Linked DNA regions of Arabidopsis thaliana. The protein of the gene in region 4 interacts with the protein of the main gene of each other region in a biochemical or structural test. Each region holds a gene or a part of one and is shown on either strand. Other genes may lie near its edges. The genes, in order: TSBtype2, AT2G27330, AT1G74050 and TTL3.

Evidence for each region.
Region 1: the proteins of TTL3 (region 4) and TSBtype2 form a complex in vitro, tested with the Arabidopsis thaliana proteins (one study listed by BioGRID).
Region 2: the proteins of TTL3 (region 4) and AT2G27330 form a complex in vitro, tested with the Arabidopsis thaliana proteins (one study listed by BioGRID).
Region 3: the proteins of TTL3 (region 4) and AT1G74050 form a complex in vitro, tested with the Arabidopsis thaliana proteins (one study listed by BioGRID).

What each region holds. Positions count from the first base shown.
Region 1 is NC_003076.8:15,422,277-15,427,093, reverse strand, and holds TSBtype2 (tryptophan synthase beta type 2), read right to left. Parts: upstream 3,115-4,817; 5' UTR 2,998-3,114; coding exon 2,928-2,997; intron 2,819-2,927; coding exon 2,476-2,818; intron 2,260-2,475; coding exon 2,043-2,259; intron 1,944-2,042; coding exon 1,406-1,943; intron 1,243-1,405; coding exon 1,144-1,242; intron 1,054-1,143; coding exon 800-1,053; 3' UTR 518-799; downstream 1-517. Other genes in the region: AT5G38520 (alpha/beta-Hydrolases superfamily protein), read right to left, coding at 3,860-4,171, 4,252-4,321, 4,404-4,617, 4,714-4,807.
Region 2 is NC_003071.7:11,694,508-11,698,731, forward strand, and holds AT2G27330 (RNA-binding (RRM/RBD/RNP motifs) family protein), read right to left. Parts: upstream 2,293-4,224; 5' UTR 2,057-2,292; coding exon 1,978-2,056; intron 1,584-1,977; coding exon 1,515-1,583; intron 1,349-1,514; coding exon 1,242-1,348; intron 939-1,241; coding exon 843-938; 3' UTR 525-842; downstream 1-524. Other genes in the region: AT2G27320 (NEP-interacting protein, putative (DUF239)), read left to right, coding at 1-124; AT2G27340 (N-acetylglucosaminylphosphatidylinositol de-N-acetylase family protein), read left to right, coding at 2,942-3,047, 3,141-3,189, 3,277-3,347, 3,516-3,580, 3,676-3,720, 3,811-3,891, 3,968-4,035, 4,111-4,159.
Region 3 is NC_003070.9:27,846,529-27,850,913, forward strand, and holds AT1G74050 (Ribosomal protein L6 family protein), read right to left. Parts: upstream 2,481-4,385; 5' UTR 2,153-2,480; coding exon 1,896-2,152; intron 1,468-1,895; coding exon 1,361-1,467; intron 1,245-1,360; coding exon 1,063-1,244; intron 884-1,062; coding exon 728-883; 3' UTR 510-727; downstream 1-509. Other genes in the region: TET17 (tetraspanin-17 protein), read left to right, coding at 13-312; AT1G74055 (uncharacterized protein), read left to right, coding at 2,751-3,185; AT1G74060 (Ribosomal protein L6 family protein), read right to left, coding at 3,505-3,660, 3,801-3,982, 4,112-4,218.
Region 4 is NC_003071.7:17,726,977-17,732,392, forward strand, and holds TTL3 (tetratricopetide-repeat thioredoxin-like 3), read left to right. Parts: upstream 1-1,502; 5' UTR 1,503-1,878; coding exon 1,879-2,777; intron 2,778-2,864; coding exon 2,865-3,060; intron 3,061-3,140; coding exon 3,141-3,325; intron 3,326-3,413; coding exon 3,414-3,747; intron 3,748-3,828; coding exon 3,829-4,030; intron 4,031-4,113; coding exon 4,114-4,220; intron 4,221-4,332; coding exon 4,333-4,485; 3' UTR 4,486-4,860; downstream 4,861-5,416. Other genes in the region: GRF9 (general regulatory factor 9), read right to left, coding at 5,188-5,291. UniProt on the Arabidopsis thaliana protein: Involved in osmotic and salt stress tolerance. May play a role in the control of meristematic cell size during osmotic stress. May function as an adapter protein for BRL2 and may be required for signaling affecting leaf vascular tissue pattern formation.

The DNA.
Region 1 (4,817 bases), on a different chromosome or scaffold from region 4:
TCATTCTCAATGTATTTCTTTTTCTTGTTTTGCAGTTCGAGTTGGATCCTCTTGAACGTATCACATCAGTGGAGGGTACTTATGATGATAAAATCGGAGGTATAACCATGCTTAGGTTCAAGACCAACAAAAAAGACTCTCCGTACTTTGGATTCGGTACATTACCAAGCTTCGTGCTTCACAAGGATAATCACCAGATCGTTGGGTTCCATGGAAAATCCAGTAACATGCTTCATCAACTTGGGGTCCATGTTCTACCCAATGGTTTTAAATTTGTTTCTTAAGGATCTCGTACCCTTTTTTTTACTCTACTACATGTGTTTTCTCATTTTAATGTGTGGCGTGTGTGTCTTCCGATAATCTCATGTTATAAGTCATGTTTTAATGACATCGCATCTTCAACTCACTTCTACGTGTTGCGTCTTCCTATGTTGTATGTCTTTCGACAGTACTATCACGTAATATAATTTTGTTTTCTAAAACTTAAGTTCTGATGCTTCTTCAGCAAGTGTTGATGGTTTTGGAAGAATTAAAGGTTCATCATCGACTTATCGTCGAGCTTCATATCTTGCAAAGATTTCTCCATATATAGAGTGAAAAATAGAGACCTAACCCCAAAATGTGGTGTTTCTGTAAATGCCTTTTTTATTCTTATTTCAAGAGATAATTTTGTTCATGTTTTGAAGTTGTCCTCTCTCTCACTCTTCATTTCAAAAGCCAAGATTAAACCTAACTTCTGTCTCACGTCTAGTTTGGAACATGGGACATTGGTTTCCCGTGGTTATGGGGCCATTCGAGCTTAAACAACATGAGGAACCTTGGACAAAGACTCTCGTATCTTCTCTTCGCTGAATGATAAATCCACCAACTCGCCTTTTAAATACTTGTCGTAAGAAGTAAGGTCGAAATGGCCATGTCCACACATCGCCATTAGTATCACTTTTGCTTCTCCCGTCTCTTTACATCGGAGAGCCTCTCTTATGGTTGCAGCAATGGCGTGGGTCGGTTCTGGTGCGGGTATGATCCCTTCTGTTCTTGCAAACTGAATAGCACCTGAAAGACAATTAAACATGAAAAGTTTGTATTACAATCAAATGCAAAAGTTAAATGAGATTTGAGGAATTTCAGCGATCGAAGAACCACCTTGGAAACACTCAATTTGAGGAATTGAAATTGCTTCCATGAATCCTTGTTCATAAACATGTGAGATCAATGGTGCCATCCCATGGTACCTTAATCCACCTGCCAACAACCATAGACGTATAATACAACAAAATTAAGCCAAAAATAAAAGATTCAGGTTTCAAGAATCAAGAACCAAAGATCCAAGAAATCAAGAAAACAGAATATTGAGAATCAAGAAGCGTTTTGTTTAAGATAGTTAGTTTAAAGCTTATTTTATTACCGGCATGGATAGGATCAGGAATGAAGTCATGTCCCAAAGTATGCATCTTCATCAAAGGAGTCAATCCAGCCGTATCGCCAAAATCATAAGCATAAACCCCTTTGGTCAAGGAAGGACAAGCAGATGGCTCAACCGCTCTTATAACAGGGTTGATTTTGCCTTTGAGTTTCTCCCGGATAAAAGGAAAACTCAAACCAGCAAAATTTGATCCTCCACCAGTACACCCTATGATCAGGTCAGGTGTTTCACCAAAATTCTCCATTTGTTGAATGCATTCTTCTCCAATAATTGTTTGGTGTAACAACACATGGTTCAATACACTCCCTAGGCAGTATTTTGTATCCTCGTTTCTCGCTGCAACTTCAACCGCTTCTGATATCGCAATGCCTAAACTTCCCGGACTTGATGGATCGGATTCGAGGATTCTTCTACCCGCCTCAGTGAGATCCGATGGCGACGGATGAACCTTTGCACCCCAAGTTTGCATCATTAACCGGCGATATGGCTTTGTATGGTAAGAGTTGGCTACTTGCCATACCTATAATGTTTTGAAAAGTATAAAAGAAACAATGTCACTTATAATCAAAACATTACATTTTTCAAGATACCAAAGCAAAATTCTAATATTTATGCTTACTTCGCAGTCGAGACCAAATAGACTAGAAGCAAAGGCTAAAGAACTTCCCCATTGACCAGCACCGGTTTCCGTCACAACGTTCTTGACGCCTTCTTTCGCATTGTAATAAGCTTGTGGAACCGCTGTGTTTGGTTTGTGTGAACCAGCTGGGCTACCACCTTCATACTTGAAGTAAATCCTTGCCGGTGTTTGAAGAAGCTTCTCTAATCTCTTTGCTCTATAATCAAAGCAAAATAAATAATCTGATATGAAATTTGGCTAAACTAATACTAAGACTGATGACACTTCAGCTAATATTCAAAATCTTGATTATGAAAAACAGAAACAAATCCTTTTTATTATCTTTAAATCATCTATGGCTAAATTATAAATATAAAAGAAAACACACAAAAAAACAATCAAAATAAGAAAACTAAATAAAAAAATCAAGAACCTGATTAGAGGAGTTGGACGCCAAAGCTTATAGATTTCAAGAACTTCCTCAGGGATATCAATAAACCTCTCTTGTGTAGCTTCTTGTTTAATCAACTCATTGGGGAAAAGATGAGCCAAATCTTCGGGTTTTATCGGTTCGAAAGTCTTTGGATGCAACGGTGGAGGAGGCTTGACTGAAAGATCAGCAACAAGATTATACCATTGTTTTGGAATCTCAACCACTGATTTGTTGTGAGTAGATCTCAAAGCTGCTTTTACTCTTAAGCTAGATCCATTTGAAACTCTTGTAGCTTGGTTTGATTTTCTTTTCAGAGTTAAGTCACTAAATCCTTGACAATCACCTAATCAAATCAAAATAAAACACACAAGACATCAAATATTCAACTTTGAAGCAATCAAATCAAGAATAAAGTTTTGACAAAAGAATCAAGAGATCAACAGTGAACTTACCAGTAATGAAAACTTGAGGTGAGACTGATTTAGTGAATTGGTTTGGAGGTAAAAGCAATTGAGAGGCCATTTCTTTGTTATCTTTATCAGTTTCAAAGATATGAATTAGGGATTTTGGGATATTGACTAGAGAGTAATGAGAGATCGGTGAAGCATTTAAATAATAGACTCCAACGAAGACTTCCCGGCACCCAACGACATCTAACCATTTTAATACAAATTTGTTTTGTCTTCTTTATTTTTATTTTTATTGGACCACTCCATTTAACTCTTTTTGTCTTGTTTTGTTTACTCTTCTTCTTTGGCATCATTTTTTTGATGAAAACTGAAAATTTATAACAATGGTTTTTCATTCACACTGATAATCAATATTCAATCATCATATTCATATATATACACTTTTGAATTTCAAGTTTGAAAATTATCATCTTCACTATGTTGATGATATTGCAGCATGAATGTCCTTTTAAAGATTCAACAACCAAACAAATTTGTAGATTTTGTGGCCAAAAATAGCTTCTAGCAGCTCATTAAGTGTCTTTTACTTGCCTACCAACAAAAGTAGCAAATTATCAATTGTATAGGACCATCAATCATTCATCAACCTAACTAGTCACTTTCTACATTTGTAACGATTCTTTTACCAAAAATGACTACCAAGTCAATAGCATTGAGCTTTGACTAAATAAGCCTATCTTTTAGTTTAGTATATTTTTGGCTTTGACATTTGGTATTCAGTTACAAACCATGTAATTTGCGTTTATTCCAAAAACAAACTCCTTTACCAAGTTACTACCACCATGACTTCTTTACAACTTACATTCAGACACCACAAAATGTGTCAAGAAATATCATTTTGAATCTGTCTTTTTCCAATTAGATAGATTTGTTTTACATTTATAAACAAGTGTACACGGCTAAACAAATCGAAACTAGGTGGAAGAAAGTTGAGCCAGCCATGGAAGGAGACGCTCATGGACAAGATCCGGACGATCATCTTGCGGGCAATGTCCAACGCCTTGTAGAACATAGAGGTTGAAGTTAGGTAACTGATCCGGAAGGGAAGTGAAGTACTTACCTACTGGACCATCAAGAGGGGTTAGTCCATCTTGATCTCCCCATAAGACAAGAACCGGTTTGGTTATTTCCGGTATCAGCTTAATCGGATTTGGTCCAGGAGGACCCGTTAAGATTGAAACAAAAGCATCTAGTGCACCTTCGGTATTTGCTGGTCCAGCAATGATCTAACATAACATTTTCACATAAAAAGTGAATAAAACTTTCATTGTTCTTTGTCATTGAGAGTGAGTAATAATGACAATACCTCTACAAGGGTGTCATCTACATTGTCCTTGTTCCCGTAAACATTTGTCAAGATGTTCTTCAGATTTTCCCTGCGTTTCGTATATTCGTCAATGCGTTAGAGCTCTCGAATAAATCGTTTCAAAGTCAGGGAAAAAGTGAATAAGGACATACCTGTCTTTAACACGGTTGAAGAGTGCAGAAGCAATTCCTCTTTGCTTGAGTAAGAAGTCGATAAGTAAGAGTAAAGGCATCAGTAGCTTGATTCTCCAGTCATCAAAGACAGCTTTGTTGTTCATACCACCAGCACAATTCAATAGAACAAGACCTTTGACCAGATCTCCTCGTGATTCTGTTTTTTTTTCCAAATATATGAGAAACTTAGTACCTAAGATTCATATACTTGTGACATCTTTAGCTCAAGTAATCGAAGTTTATATCATTAGACGTAGAAACAAACTCAAATAGTGAAAAGGGTTTAGACCTGAGGCAGCGATGACACAAGCAAGGCTTCCAACAGAGTTTCCAATCAAAATAGTCGGTTTCTGAACCACTTCCTCCAAGAAGTTGAGTATCAACTACACCAAA
Region 2 (4,224 bases), 6.0 Mb from region 4:
TCACGATTTTTATAAAAGTTCACATTTTTCAAAGGTCAAAGTTAAGAATTCGAACTATGAAACCATTGATTTTGAAAAACAGAGAACAAGACGTTATGCAGATTCTTACCAATTTATAGACTAACGTATTGGGGTTATAACCAGCATAATAGAGTATCCTTCTCTTATGGAGGACCAGGTGGACAATGTGGTACTTGATGATCAATAAATCAAATATGTATCAACCAAAGCTATATCAAATTTGCAAGAGAAATAAACTATATCCATGTTGTTGTGTATGACAAGTATTTTAAATATTTATAAGGCATTCAGGTGGACAAAGATATATAAACTACCTCTTCCAATACAAATCTTAGGCTAATTTCGTTTTCTTACAAACATCTTTGTTTTATCATTCCAATTTTATGAAATCTTCAGAAATAAAATGTGGTTCTTCCATAGATGTATATAGAAAATTAGAGTCATGCTATGAACACAACTAATGCCCTAAACGGCGAATTCCACATAAGTAAATAAGCTTTAGATAGTTCTTAAGCGATCTTTTGGTTAGAAGTAGATACCAAAGACATGAAGAAACTAGTGAATAGATCAAGAGAACAATGGGTTAGTATGTGAAGGCAAAGAAGAAGAGGCATAATCATCCAAAAGACTCAAAGACTCTCAAGTCACGTGACTTGTATACATGATCAAACGCAAAACGCAAAACTGGTCTATGATGACTCAAAGCTCCTAACTCTAGGTGTTCGATACAACTAACTCCCCAAATCCAAATAACCTCGAAACTGGTTTGAAGGTTTTCTGAGTCTCATAATTTAACCTAACAAGTTGACAAAAGAGAAGTATCAGCTATCACCACCTGCATGATTTGGCTTGGTGTCTGGTGGATTGTGTTTTGCAGCTTTTGTTGTGTCAAGGATCACGACCCGCCCGTCAACCAACTGTGATCCATATAACAAGACTTCATGAAGACTAAGTAACATAACCAGTTCCAAGAGTTGACGATTTTAGATTATCTCAAGACAATAGTTCCATTATCTAACATATCTTGTTCTAATGCTCCACCAGGGGATTCACAAGTAAATTATCAAATCTTTTTCTTCATAACAGGAGAAAGCTATAAGTTTGAAAGATCAATACTGTGAAAGGGTTTATACGAAAATCGATTCGAATGGAGTCTTTAGACTTATCTGAGATATAGAATTTCAAGCAATGAATTCTCAAATGGAGAAGGGAGTTTATACCTGGGCGTTGAGTTCTAATAAAGCTTTCTCGGCTTCTTCTTTAGATGAGAATGTGACATAAGCAAACCCTTTTGGTCTGCATCTGATTTTGTCCATTATAACATCCACTAAAGCAACCAAAAGTTGAAGAAGACAATCAGAATGAATGAAAATACTGAAAACCTTATGTACAAGTGTATAGACTCTTAACTATCTCAAACTAACTCTGATAAAGATAAAGAGATATGTAAGTGAAGGTGTACAACTAAATTGCTGTTGGGATTAGAGACTGACCTTTGAGAACTTGACCATATTGAGAAAATGCTTGGGTTAATGTTTCTTCAGTGCTTGAGAAAGATATGCCTGCAGCAAAAATCTTCAGTTCAGTGACAGTAATACAAGTCACACACAGATCAAACAAAGACACAAAGCTTTTACATCTAAAGTTCGAAACTTTTAGATTGGTAAGACACTATGTGGTAGTTAAGCAGTAAATTCACACATACCCTATTGTTGTTTCTATCAAAATAAGAAGAATTGGTACAATCACAGCATACATACACAATAGCTATCTCTAACCAAATTGGCACAGTCAAAGTCACAACCTTTAAGACCTCAAAAACCAATTGAGGACATACCCGATTCAAGGAATTAGAAATCAGGAAATGGGTAGTTAGATTCGTGAAAGAAGGATTAAGAATCAGAAAAGTCGCAGATAATAACAGAGGAAGAGGGAGAGAGAGAGAGAGAGAGAGACCTTTAACGAAAAGCGTAGAGGAGAAAGATCTGGAGAAGAGGAGAGGAGTGAAGGAGCGATAAAGGAACTGGGTGAGCATTTCTTTTGAAGCCGTGGCTGTTGCCGCGATCTCACCGCCGGCGAAATCACACTCTATGAACTTTATTCTCGCTGTTGTTCTTCCGTTCCATTTACCATATAATAAACCAAATTTAAGTCCACGTCAGCAATTCTAACCACACTGTAAAAAAACAAAACATCATCGCTCCCTGAGAGCAAAACCCTAATCGTCGATTCTGCTACATTCTTCCGGATTCTCAGCTGCTGAAATCTCCGGTGAGTGTTCCCACACTCTGTCAATTTTGGTTATTAAAATTTTGTTTCATTTCTTTTGATTGATTTTTAGTTTAAAAATGTCAAATTGAATGCTTTTTCTCGAGAATTTGAGCTAAATTACTGCAATTTTGTTTCAGTTTTCATGGGCTTCTACAGCCATCACGTCCTTCCTCATTCTTGCCATCGATCAAGCTCTTACTTTCTCAGTTCTCAGTGTCGATAGATTCTCTTCTTTGGTTTAGCTGTTCCACTCTCTGATTTTACTTAGCTTGATCCTTCCGAATGTGAAAATGTTTCTGTTATGTTTATCTGAAATGTGGACTCATGAATCTGGAATTTGAGCAAACAAGGGTTTCTTCCGAATGTGAGCTTGAATGCTTACAAATTTTGAATCTTTTTGTTTATTTGTTTGCTCTCTTCATTTTTTAATTGATCTGGTCACCTGAAATGAGTTAAGTTCGACTTATATAGAAGCTATGTTCTGCAAATCCACATTGATGATTTTACCATTTTGTTAATTTGGATGAAGTTGATCCATCAAGAAACACTTTAAGACTTATAATTGTTGGACTTGATCTGACTTTCTTTTTGGGTACTGACCATTTATGCTGACAATTTTGTATTGATTCAATATCATTTATGGTGTCAGATGGTTGTTGTTTTTCTATCTCTGATTGTTGTTATATGGGTGGCTTCTTTCTTCAAAATTTTCTTCCGAGCTACATCTATCTCCAGAGCCACTATTCTTGATGATGGCAAGTATTTCGAAGATGATTAATAACTTCATCTTTTAAATGCTTATCCTTTTTTTTCAGAGTTTGATATCTTATTATTGTATTTGATTTCAGGGAAGAAAAATGTGATGTTTGTTATCGCACATCCTGATGATGAGTCAATGTAAGATTTTGAGATTTAATGAAATGTTAAGATTAGTACTATTGTTCTTCTTCTTATGTTTTCCTGAGTCATGGACATGCTTGACAGGTTCTTTTCTCCAACAATAAACTACTTCACTTCCACTGCCTGCAATCTTCACATCTTATGCTTCTCCACTGGTAATAATATACCTTTCTAGGTTGCTGTTTTGCTTTCCTTTTCAAAGTTGTGGAATTGGTAAAGGACTGAGAAATTTCTAGTTTCATTGAAGAGAAGAGATTGATATCTACTTAAGTTAAACCATTAGGTTCATTTTCCATAGTAAAGATGAATTTGTTTTGTTTCAGGTAACGCTGATGGTATGGGAAGCATTAGGGACCAAGAGCTGCATCGGGCATGTGCGGTGCTCAAGGTAATCCCATTTGATAAAGAAGGAATCTGTGATAATGATTCTTGTCATTGTAATGAAGAACATGTTTTTGCTAATATATATTGAACATGATGCAGGTTCCGCTTCAACAGTTAAAGATTCTGGACCATCCAAATTTGCAGGTTTAGTAGTTCTATTATATCTCCCCAACACATGTGTATCTTTACATTCACCATCTCATACCGAGTATATTACTATTTACTCTCTCGCAGGATGGTTTTGGGCAATTATGGAGCCACGATTTGCTAACAGAGATCATCGAAGAAGAAGTCACTAATCACTATATCCACACAGTATGACTTAAAGACACTTCAGGATATTACTTAGATATATTTCTGCATCTAATTCTCTATGTGGTGGTTTTTTCAGATAATAACATTCGATAACTATGGTGTTTGGGGTCATTGCAATCACCGAGATGTGCATCGTGGAGTATTGTACGTCTGACTTCTTTCAATCCTTTAAGTCATAAAACCACAAAACCATTCCTCATCACTTTGTTGTACATGCAGAAAGTTCTTGCAGACTAATTCAGGAAGAAATGTCAAAGCTTGGGAACTTGTAAGTCTTTCTTTCCTTTCTCGGAACTTAAGAGTATCTGCAAGCTCCTATTGATTGTAAAATCG
Region 3 (4,385 bases), on a different chromosome or scaffold from region 4:
ATATATGTGCAGAAGTATTGCTGTGCACAACCGGTGGGATGTGGGACCATAACGATGTTCGACAAGCCAGGCGAGTGGAGTTGGAAACATCAGTATGAACGGAACCAAGTTCCAGAAGAGTGTTCTTATGAGTATTGTTTAGATTGCAGAGGCTGCCAACTAAGCATCTTAAAAGCCATTGTTCATCAATGGAAATATCTCTCGATGTTTGCTTACCCTGCTCTAGTCCTTTCCTGCATCAGTCTTGCTATAGCTTGGTCTCTCAAGGAGACTATCCACGAAAACGAAGATTATCGAGGTTCTTATAGTTGATCTATGATTTAATCCTAGAATACTTACTTCAAATTACATCAAAAAGTGTCAGATTTGTAGAAATGCCTATAGAAAACGGTGAATGATTTTTGAATGAGATAACGCCAATGTTCATGTAGCTTGCACATACATACCATTTTGATGTTTATTCTATATTTATGTTCAATTTCATACCGAGTTATATAGCATAACGATCCCCTTTTTTTTTGACAATAATTATCCCATTTCTATCACGAACCACGCTACAAAGCTCACAATCAAAAACAGGATCGATAGTTTGTCCATACGTAAGAACAGAGAATGTATAAGCCAAAAATTGTATGTGTTCAGTGAACAAGAACAAAACAACCATTTAGAAGGTAAAACACTTCAGGAGACAGATACTCTAGAGACCTCAGAAAAAAAGTAATGAAATCTAGAAAACAAGCTCATGGGGCTTCATTCCTTGTTTCAATGAAAACCTTGCGCCAAGGTAAGTCTTCAACTCTGGAACTGCTTCAATGGCTTTGATCAAAGCTGCATCCACAGCTTTCTGGTCATCTTTCTTCACCTGTGGGATCTCCTTCTTCTCCTGTGAAATATAAAAGAGAGATGTTATGTCAAGCATATGTTTTGGTTTGGAAAATAACAAGTGATATAAAGATATTTTCAATGTCTATTCTTCCGGAACAAACTGTGATAACCAAATTTAAAGGAGAGAAACACAAGATGAATTGCGTCCTTTCCATGTTTTGCGATATAAGGTTATACCTCTTTCTCAGCCTCAAAGAACTCTCCTTCTGTCTTCTTCTTTTTCTTCTCAGCAACCTTGCCAAAGTACTTATCATCGAATTTATCGAGGGTGACTCCAGAAATGTCAACCTTTGTGGAAGTGCCAATCACATAGGCCTGGTTAACACGTCTCAAAGGAACACCATTGATCTTGAATGGTCCTAAAGAATTGTTAAAAAAAGGATGAACAATTCAGATGGTAAAAATCAGTGAATGAGCTTCGCTTCAAATGATTTATAGGAGACAAGTTCATGAGAACAGATAGAGAATAACTCACCAGTCACAAGAAGCAAACCAGAGGCAAGCTGCTTAAGGAAGACAACTCTCTTTCCCTTGAACCTACCAGCAAGGATAATCAACACTGTACCTGGAGTAATGCTAGCTCTGCAATACAGATATAAGAAGATCGGATCATGTTGGAAACATATATAAGATCTATTGAAGACGTTACAGAGCATAGACATTAAATTTGGTATACAAATGAAAATCAAATTCGCTTTTTTTCTTTTTACTATCAACCTGAGACAAGCTTAATCATACTAATAACAGTAATGTATAAGAAAACTAGATGTATTCACAGAAATTATGAACCTTTTGAAATTCAAGTTTAACTCCACTAACAATCTTCACAAACCAATGCATTTCAACTATTCTTCAAATATCCTAGAGACAAATGATTTACACAATGCAAAATTTGGACACTTTTCCAGCAGATATTCAAATCTTATACAAACCCACTTAGCAAACGAGCCAAAGAAATCAACCAAACACATGGAAGATAATTGCATCGATACCAGTGTCAGACTAAGTACCTGAGCTTGGTTGGTTTTGCCGTGCGCCTGTTGGGGAGAGGTTTCTTAACATCTTCAGCTGGATAGAACTTCGGTGGCTTCTCCACCGGAGCATCAACCTTAGATTTAGCGTCGTGACGTGGGAAAACGCCTCCATTTTTGGCCTTGATAGCCCACAAACCTCTCTTATGGTACATCTGGGATCTCGAGTATTTACCAACACCCCTGATCAGATCAGGGTTTCTGTTGACCTTCGGGGTCCTCTGTTTCGCCGGCATGGTTCTCTCTGTCGTAATGAATCAAGGAAAAATTTTCCGGCTGAGAGTGGATAGAGGAGAGAGTTGAGGCTGAGGATAGGTGAATTTGAAGACACTGAAACCCTAATTAAATTTTAGGGCTTTCTTGGGCTCATGGGCTTTACAATTATATCGGCCTTTTAATGTGGACCGTAACATGCATAATAGGATTTGTTTTTTCTTACAACTTTGTAGTATTAAATCTTTTCACCTAAAACTATTTTGACAGGATGATAAAAAAATCAGAGTTAGAGAGTAGTTTATCTAAAAACTCAGGCTAATAATCCCCACACAATTTGACCAACGCCAAAATCAGAGCAAGACGATTCCTTCACCTGTAAGAGTGCAATGGATCACATATATCATTTATAATTAGTTTGAGACGCTTTTGATGAAGCTGATGAGGATTTCTCCGCTTTATTCACCTTTACATGTCCTTCTTCAACAAACATTGGTCGGCTTAAAAGCTCTTCAAAAGATCAATGTGCACATGCCTATGTATATATATACTAATGACCCCGTTACTCAATCAACAAATATTGAATCTTGATCACCGAAAACCAAAATTTCATTAGATTCAATGGCTATGGCTAGTAGTAGTAGCAGCTCGTCATTGTTTCCTATCCAACAACAACCTCAACAACAATTAGGAGGCAATGAGATCACACCTATGGCTACCAATGCCAATCTAATCGCAGCACCAAACGCTCCAAACCATTACTCTTCCAGCTCCATTGGACCCTTCTTCGCTGTCATATCTGTTCTCATCATTCTTGCTGTTCTCTCCTGCTTCTTGGGTCGATTCTGCGCACGGAGCCGCCAGAGAACTGGTCTAGTGGCTGAAGTCAATCCGTTGGAGATGATAAAGAGTGGTGGGCTTTTAGGTTGGCTGAGACGAAAATGGAGACGGTGTTTGGCCGGAGATGTTGAGGCCGGAGCTAAAGTTGCTGATTGTGCTAGCAAAGAAACACCTAAAGATAATGATCAAATTCGTCTAGAAGCACCTCCAGCTTGATCTCGGTGCATGTGACAGAGACTAGTAATAAGAGTTTCAATATTCGAAGTAGATTGTAAGCTAAACTATATCATTATTGCAATGTTATTTTCAATTCTCAATTTCATCACTTCGTCATGACTTAAGCATTACTAGAATCTTGTGAAAAGTTCTCCTTCAAAAACAGGATTGATAAATTATCCATATAAGACAGAAATCCAGATAGCAGCAGCCAAGATTTTATGTCTCTGGTCAGTGGACGAGAACAGAACCAACCAGTTGGAGTGTAAAACTTCAGGAGACAGATACACTAGAAACCTCAGAAAAAAAGTAATGAAATCTAGAAAACAAGCTCATGGGGCTTCATTCCTTGTTTCAATGAAAACCTTGCTCCGAGGTAAGTCTTCAACTCTGGAACTGCTTCAATAGCTTTGATCAAAGCTGCGTCCACGGCTTTCTGGTCATCTTTCTTTCCCTGTGGAATCTCTTTCTTCTCCTGCGGAAGGAAAAAAAGTATATGGAGGTCACGCATAGCTTTTAATTTGGGTAGTGTATAAAGGAGAGAACTTTAATCGTCTATTACAAAATGAGAACCAAATGACTCTTAGAGAAAGACAAGAAGAATGTTTGGGATACCTCTTTCTCAGCCTCGAAGAACTCTCCTTCAGTCTTCTTCTTTTTCTTCTCAGCAACCTTGCCGAAGTACTTATCATCGAATTTGTCGAGGGTAACTCCAGAAATGTCAACCTTTGTGGAAGTACCAATGACATAGGCCTGGTTAACACGTCTCAGAGGAACACCATTGATCTTGAATGGTCCTAAGGTCAATAACAAAACAGGAATGTCAACTTTATACAGAATACAGAAAGCAAGTTTAGTGAATGGGCGTTCTGCATTTCGAATAAAGAATGTGGCAAATAAAGAAAGTAGATTAGCATAAAACTCACCAGTCACAAGAAGCAAACCGGAGGCAAGCTGCTTAAGGAAGACAACTCTCTTGCCCTTAAATCTACCAGCAAGGATGATAAGCACTGTCCCTGGAGTGATGCTAGCTCTGCAATAGAGAAATATGAATATCGGATTACAACATAACAAATTCCGAACAATGTAACACAAAATACAAGCAAAAGAGGCAAACTTTCCACAGAAATCAAGATAAATTCACAAACCAAATAGAACAGACCACAATGACTAATTAACGATTTCAAAACACTAAGCTAG
Region 4 (5,416 bases):
GTTATGTTCTTAATTATCCTATTATTGTTTTAAATATTTTTATATAGCGAAATAATTTATTTAAGAAAAAGTCAAGAGAAAATTAATTGACTATATATGGAAAATAATTTGAGGGTGCGAGGCATGACCTAGCTAGAGAAAAATAAAATAAAATGAAGGCATGCATGGTGCTTGGTTCAATGTAATTAGTGGTTCCGTAGGTCTGAACGGTACGGACTGGCCATGATCTACTAGAAACAGTAAATAGTTAATACAAAGTAATTAATTATGAGTTTCAGCAAATTAACTACTCTATATCGAATGAATTAAACAGTAATCCCCAGAAAAGAAAAAAAGAGAACTATGACAGCCTTTTCAAAGGACACCCGAAAACCAAAATGAAGATTTTAAAAATGCCAGCTCTGCAATAGATATTGAACTTTCATTTGTAATTTTCTTTATTTTTGTTGCATTACACACATTTGTTATTTACATTTAAATTGGCTATTGCAATAAAAGATTACTTTATATGCTTATAATAGTACAATATATATGGTGGCTTAAACAAAAGTTTGGCTGGCTTGATAAATACATCTTACATCGAATGACGATTTTACCCTCTATCTTGCTGTCTCTGAGTACGAGGGTTGAAATCCTTACGTGGCATTTTTTCTCATTTTTCTTGGTCAAATAGTTTAACCAAACTCCAAAAGTCTGTGATTTGTTGACATACTTCTAACTAATTTTTTTTTATAATAAAAATCTATTGTATCTGTAGAAATAATCATTAGATTTACTTTCTAGAATATAACTTCTTATTTCTTAGTAATTTGTCCAGATTTTTTTTTACAACTAACTAAACACTAGTTAAAATGTTAATGTCTAAAAAATACCATTACAATTATTCAATTTAATAAAAATTGAGTCGGCCAATTTAATGCGAGACTTCTGTACAACGACCCTAAAAGTGGGTTTGATAAATGAAACATATTGCAACAAAAAAATACTAGTAATAATGATAAAATAGTAACATGTCGTGGCGCATTGAATATCCTACGAAGGTTTAGTGTTTACTTTTAAAAAATCCTAATATGATACTAGTACATATAGCTAGCTTGCCTTGCTTATGCTATTGCATAGTCTGTATTAATAAATGATGTTATACATTTCGATAGAGTAACATTTTGGGAACATGAGTGAACGTGCTTGAATCTTCGTGCCCTTGACGTCAGAAGCTAGTAATTTTAAATACTAATTAACATTCATACAAATTAACAGATACAATGTACTATATCATAATTCGTTTCCGTAACACAACGCAACAATTTGAAAGTAGATGTACTTTAGTACTTAGTTAGTGTGCACCAAAAAAAAAAGATGTAGTTAGTTAGTAAGGGGTTAAATGTTTTAATTTATTAAGAAAACTTAAATTCATTAAATGTTAGAAAAAGTCTAATTAGTTTATATTCGAACACTGTGCTCAAAATTAAAAAGTCAACTATTTTAGACTATAGAGTTTATTAATTAATAATAAATTCGATAAATCACCGTATTATTTTCTTCAACGACAAGTAGCCGTGAAGACACGGGAGCGAAGAGAGATAAACAGAAGATGAAGAAGAAGATCAATGTCATAATCTTCAGGGAGATAAATCCGTAATCTTTATTAATCAAGGTTAATCCTTTTTTTTTTCTTCATCTTAATTCTTTGCGTCTTCCTTTTCTATTTATCACGAGATCTGTCTTTCTTTTTCCTCTTCTTTCTCTCTCTTCTCTCTGAAGACAGTACTTGTTTCTGTCCGGCGTTAAAAGCTTCGGTGGTGGTCTCTTGACTTCTCTGAGAAGAAGAAAAGGAAGCTGAGTCTCATTTTAGATTCAGCTCACGAGGAAGTGACGACGATGTCTCATTCTAGAAGACTTTCGTTGGAACCTGCTATAGATTCAATCACTGGTCGATTTCGTGATTTACAGAGAAATGATGATGACGTCAACAAACCTGATTTTCGAGAACTCGATCTAGGTTCTCCTGTTTCTACCTTAATGCCACGTGGCTCTGCTTCTTCTTCCGCTGCTGCGACTCCTACTAGCAGCTCTGGCTCTTCTGGCTCTGCTTCTGGTAAACCGTCGGTGAGTTCTCAGATGGCTAAACGGTTAGATGATGCTTACAAGAGTCATTCCGGTGAGCTTTCTAGCCCCGGATCCGGAATGCCGACCACGACCCGGATTCTTAAACCGGGTCATAGAAGATCTTCTTCTACTGGCACGCCTTTGATCTTCTCTGGCTCTAGCTTTACTTCAGCAACGAGTCACACCTCGCCACAAGGAGGTGGTAGCGGTGCTACGTCGGCAGTGTCTCCCAATACTGGCGTTTTACCGGCGGGAAATATTTGTCCGTCGGGTCGGATCTTGAAAACTGGAATGGCGTCTCGGACTTCAAGTAGGACTGAGACTCTATGCACAGGAACTGGTAATTACGGACATGGAAACGTTGTACGCAGCGGCGGAGGAGGAGGAACCAGCGGAAAGGCGGTGAGAGTGGCGGAGAATGGCGAAAACCCGGAGGAGTTGAAGAGAATGGGGAATGATATGTATAGGAGAGGGAGTTTCTCTGAAGCTCTGTCGCTTTATGACAGAGCAATTTTGATTTCACCGGGAAATGCAGCTTACAGAAGCAACCGTGCCGCGGCTTTAACGGCATTGAGGCGGTTAGGAGAAGCCGTTAAAGAATGTCTTGAAGCTGTTAGGATTGATCCTTCTTACTCCAGAGCTCACCAAAGACTTGCTTCTCTCTATCTCAGGTAATCTTGAGAGGCTTTTTGTTTTGTTGCTGTGTTTTTAGTTTAAAGATTGAGAATTTGAAATGATGGAGTGAATTGTTGCTTTAGATTGGGTGAAGCTGAGAATGCAAGACGTCACATTTGTTTTTCTGGTCAATGTCCGGATCAAGCTGATCTCCAACGGCTACAGACGCTGGAGAAGCATCTCCGACGATGCTGGGAGGCTCGAAAGATTGGAGATTGGAAAACCGCGATTAAGGAAACCGATGCAGCCATTGCAAACGGCGCTGATTCGTCTCCTCAGGTGATTACATATCATTGTCGTATGATATGCTTGTAAAGATTTTTGACTAACAGTGAGGTTTTTTCTATTGGTTTGGACAGCTTGTAGCTTGTAAAGCAGAAGCCTTTTTGCGTCTTAAGCAAATAGAGGATTCGGATTTTTGTGTATCTTGCATTCCAAGATTGGATCATCATTACCATTCTCAACCGCAGGTGAAACTCTTTGGTATGGTAGTTGAAGCTTATGTGCTCTGTATCCAAGCTCAAGTTGATATGGCATTAGGAAGGTGAGCTTTCGAAACTCAGAAATGTTGTGATTCTTTGGATTTTTGTTTCTCCACCGGTGAGTGAGTAGATATGATAGGTTTGTTGCAGATTTGAGAATGCGGTTGTCAAGGCAGAGAGAGCTGCGATGCTTGATCAAACCAATCCTGAGGTTGTATCAGTTTTAAACAATGTGAAGATGGTTGTGCGGGCACGTACTCGTGGTAATGAGCTATTTAGTTCGGGGAGATTCTCGGAAGCGTGTGTAGCTTATGGAGACGGTCTCAAGCAAGATGACTCCAATTCGGTTTTGTACTGCAACAGAGCAGCGTGTTGGTATAAGCTCGGTTTGTGGGAGAAATCTGTTGAAGATTGTAACCATGCGCTCAAAAGCCAGCCTAGTTACATCAAGGCACTTCTACGTAGGGCTGCTTCATATGGAAAGGTGAGATTAGAACTTACTATAATCAGTTATTGACAGAATTTTGCAGTGTATTCGAATGACAATGTGTGTTGAAATATATAGCTTGGTAGGTGGGAGGATGCGGTTAAAGATTATGAGTTCTTGAGAAGAGAACTTCCAGGAGACAGTGAAGTTGCAGAGTCTCTAGAGAGAGCGAAAACAGTGCTAATGAACAGAAGCCAAGAATCTAAAAGCCTAGGTTTCAATAATGAAGTTGAAGCGGTTTCGACTTTGGATAAGTTCAAGAAATCCGTAGCACTTCCCGGTAAGTCTAATGAGAAACTTCAATTTGTCTCAAAAGGTTGAGATTTTGCGTGTCTTGCTCAAGTTGGAAACATTTCTCTTCAGGTGTCTCTGTATTTCATTTCAAATCATCATCAAACCGACAATGCGAAGAAATTTCTCCATTCATCAACACTTTATGTCTTCGGTATCCATTAGTACATTTCTTTATGGTAAGAACAAGAACACATTCCAAATATGCTTTTTATATCACATTTTCTTCTAAACTTATATGTATAACCTATGTTTCTCAATGTGTTAACTGAGAAAATGAAATGTTATTAGGTGGATGTGGAGGAGAGCATGGCGTTGGCGAAAGCAGAGAGTATCAGGAAAGTTCCGACATTTAAGATGTACAAGAATGGAGATAAAGTGAAGGAGATGGTTTGTCCTAGCCATCAGTTTCTAGAGGACTCTATAAAGCATTTCCTCTTATGATTGAAAAAGCCCTATCATCATTATCTGCTTCCCTATGATTCGATCCGAATAGCCTATTTAAAAGACTCAGAAAGCATTCTATGTGAAAGATGGGAAAGAGCTCTTCTGTCAAATTCAACAAACTATTCATTCTTTCTTCTTATTCGATTCTAATTCTTCTTTATTTATTTTTTGGAGTTTGGCTCTGCTTGCTTTGGCATATTACGTATGGGTAAATGTTCGCAATGATTCAAGAAATGCAAGCTTCATTATCTATTTACGCTTGGCTTGTGTATGCTAGATTATTCACCACACCAGTGAAAGAAACTGAACAGAGTTTACTGTATTTGGTGTTGTTGATTCAATCAGTGACAGAATATGAATCAGAGAGTACCGAATCCAATCAGCTTCTATCTCAGCAATTCAGAAATGAAGGAATATAAGTTTCAAGATTGGATCCATAAGGATAGATAGTAAGACGACAGTAGTGAATTACAAATAAGAGTGTCCTGAGACAGGCATGCAATACATTCAAACCAGAGAGACATTTAGGGCTAAACCAGAGTACAAGTAACATAGACAATCATGATATAGGGAACAGAGAAACTCTACTTTTCACTATTATTCACCGCACATTCAGTTCTTGAAACATATTGTCCAGGTGCACACATATCATATCACTGCAACATAAGCAAAGAAATCTTGAATCAAAATCGGCTTATTTTAATTTGATTTACCCCGAGTAAAGGAATCTCTTATACTTACCTCTGCATCGTCTCCACCAGCACCAGGTTTGGCAGAACCATTCGTCTTATGAGCATCGTCTCCTGCACACAAATGCAAAATTAACAGTTGAAGTCCAAGTGAAAATATATATTGATAAAAACTGGCAATCGTCTTCCAGATGCTATTTCAACTATCTATCATCAAGAATGTCCATGGATATGCTTAA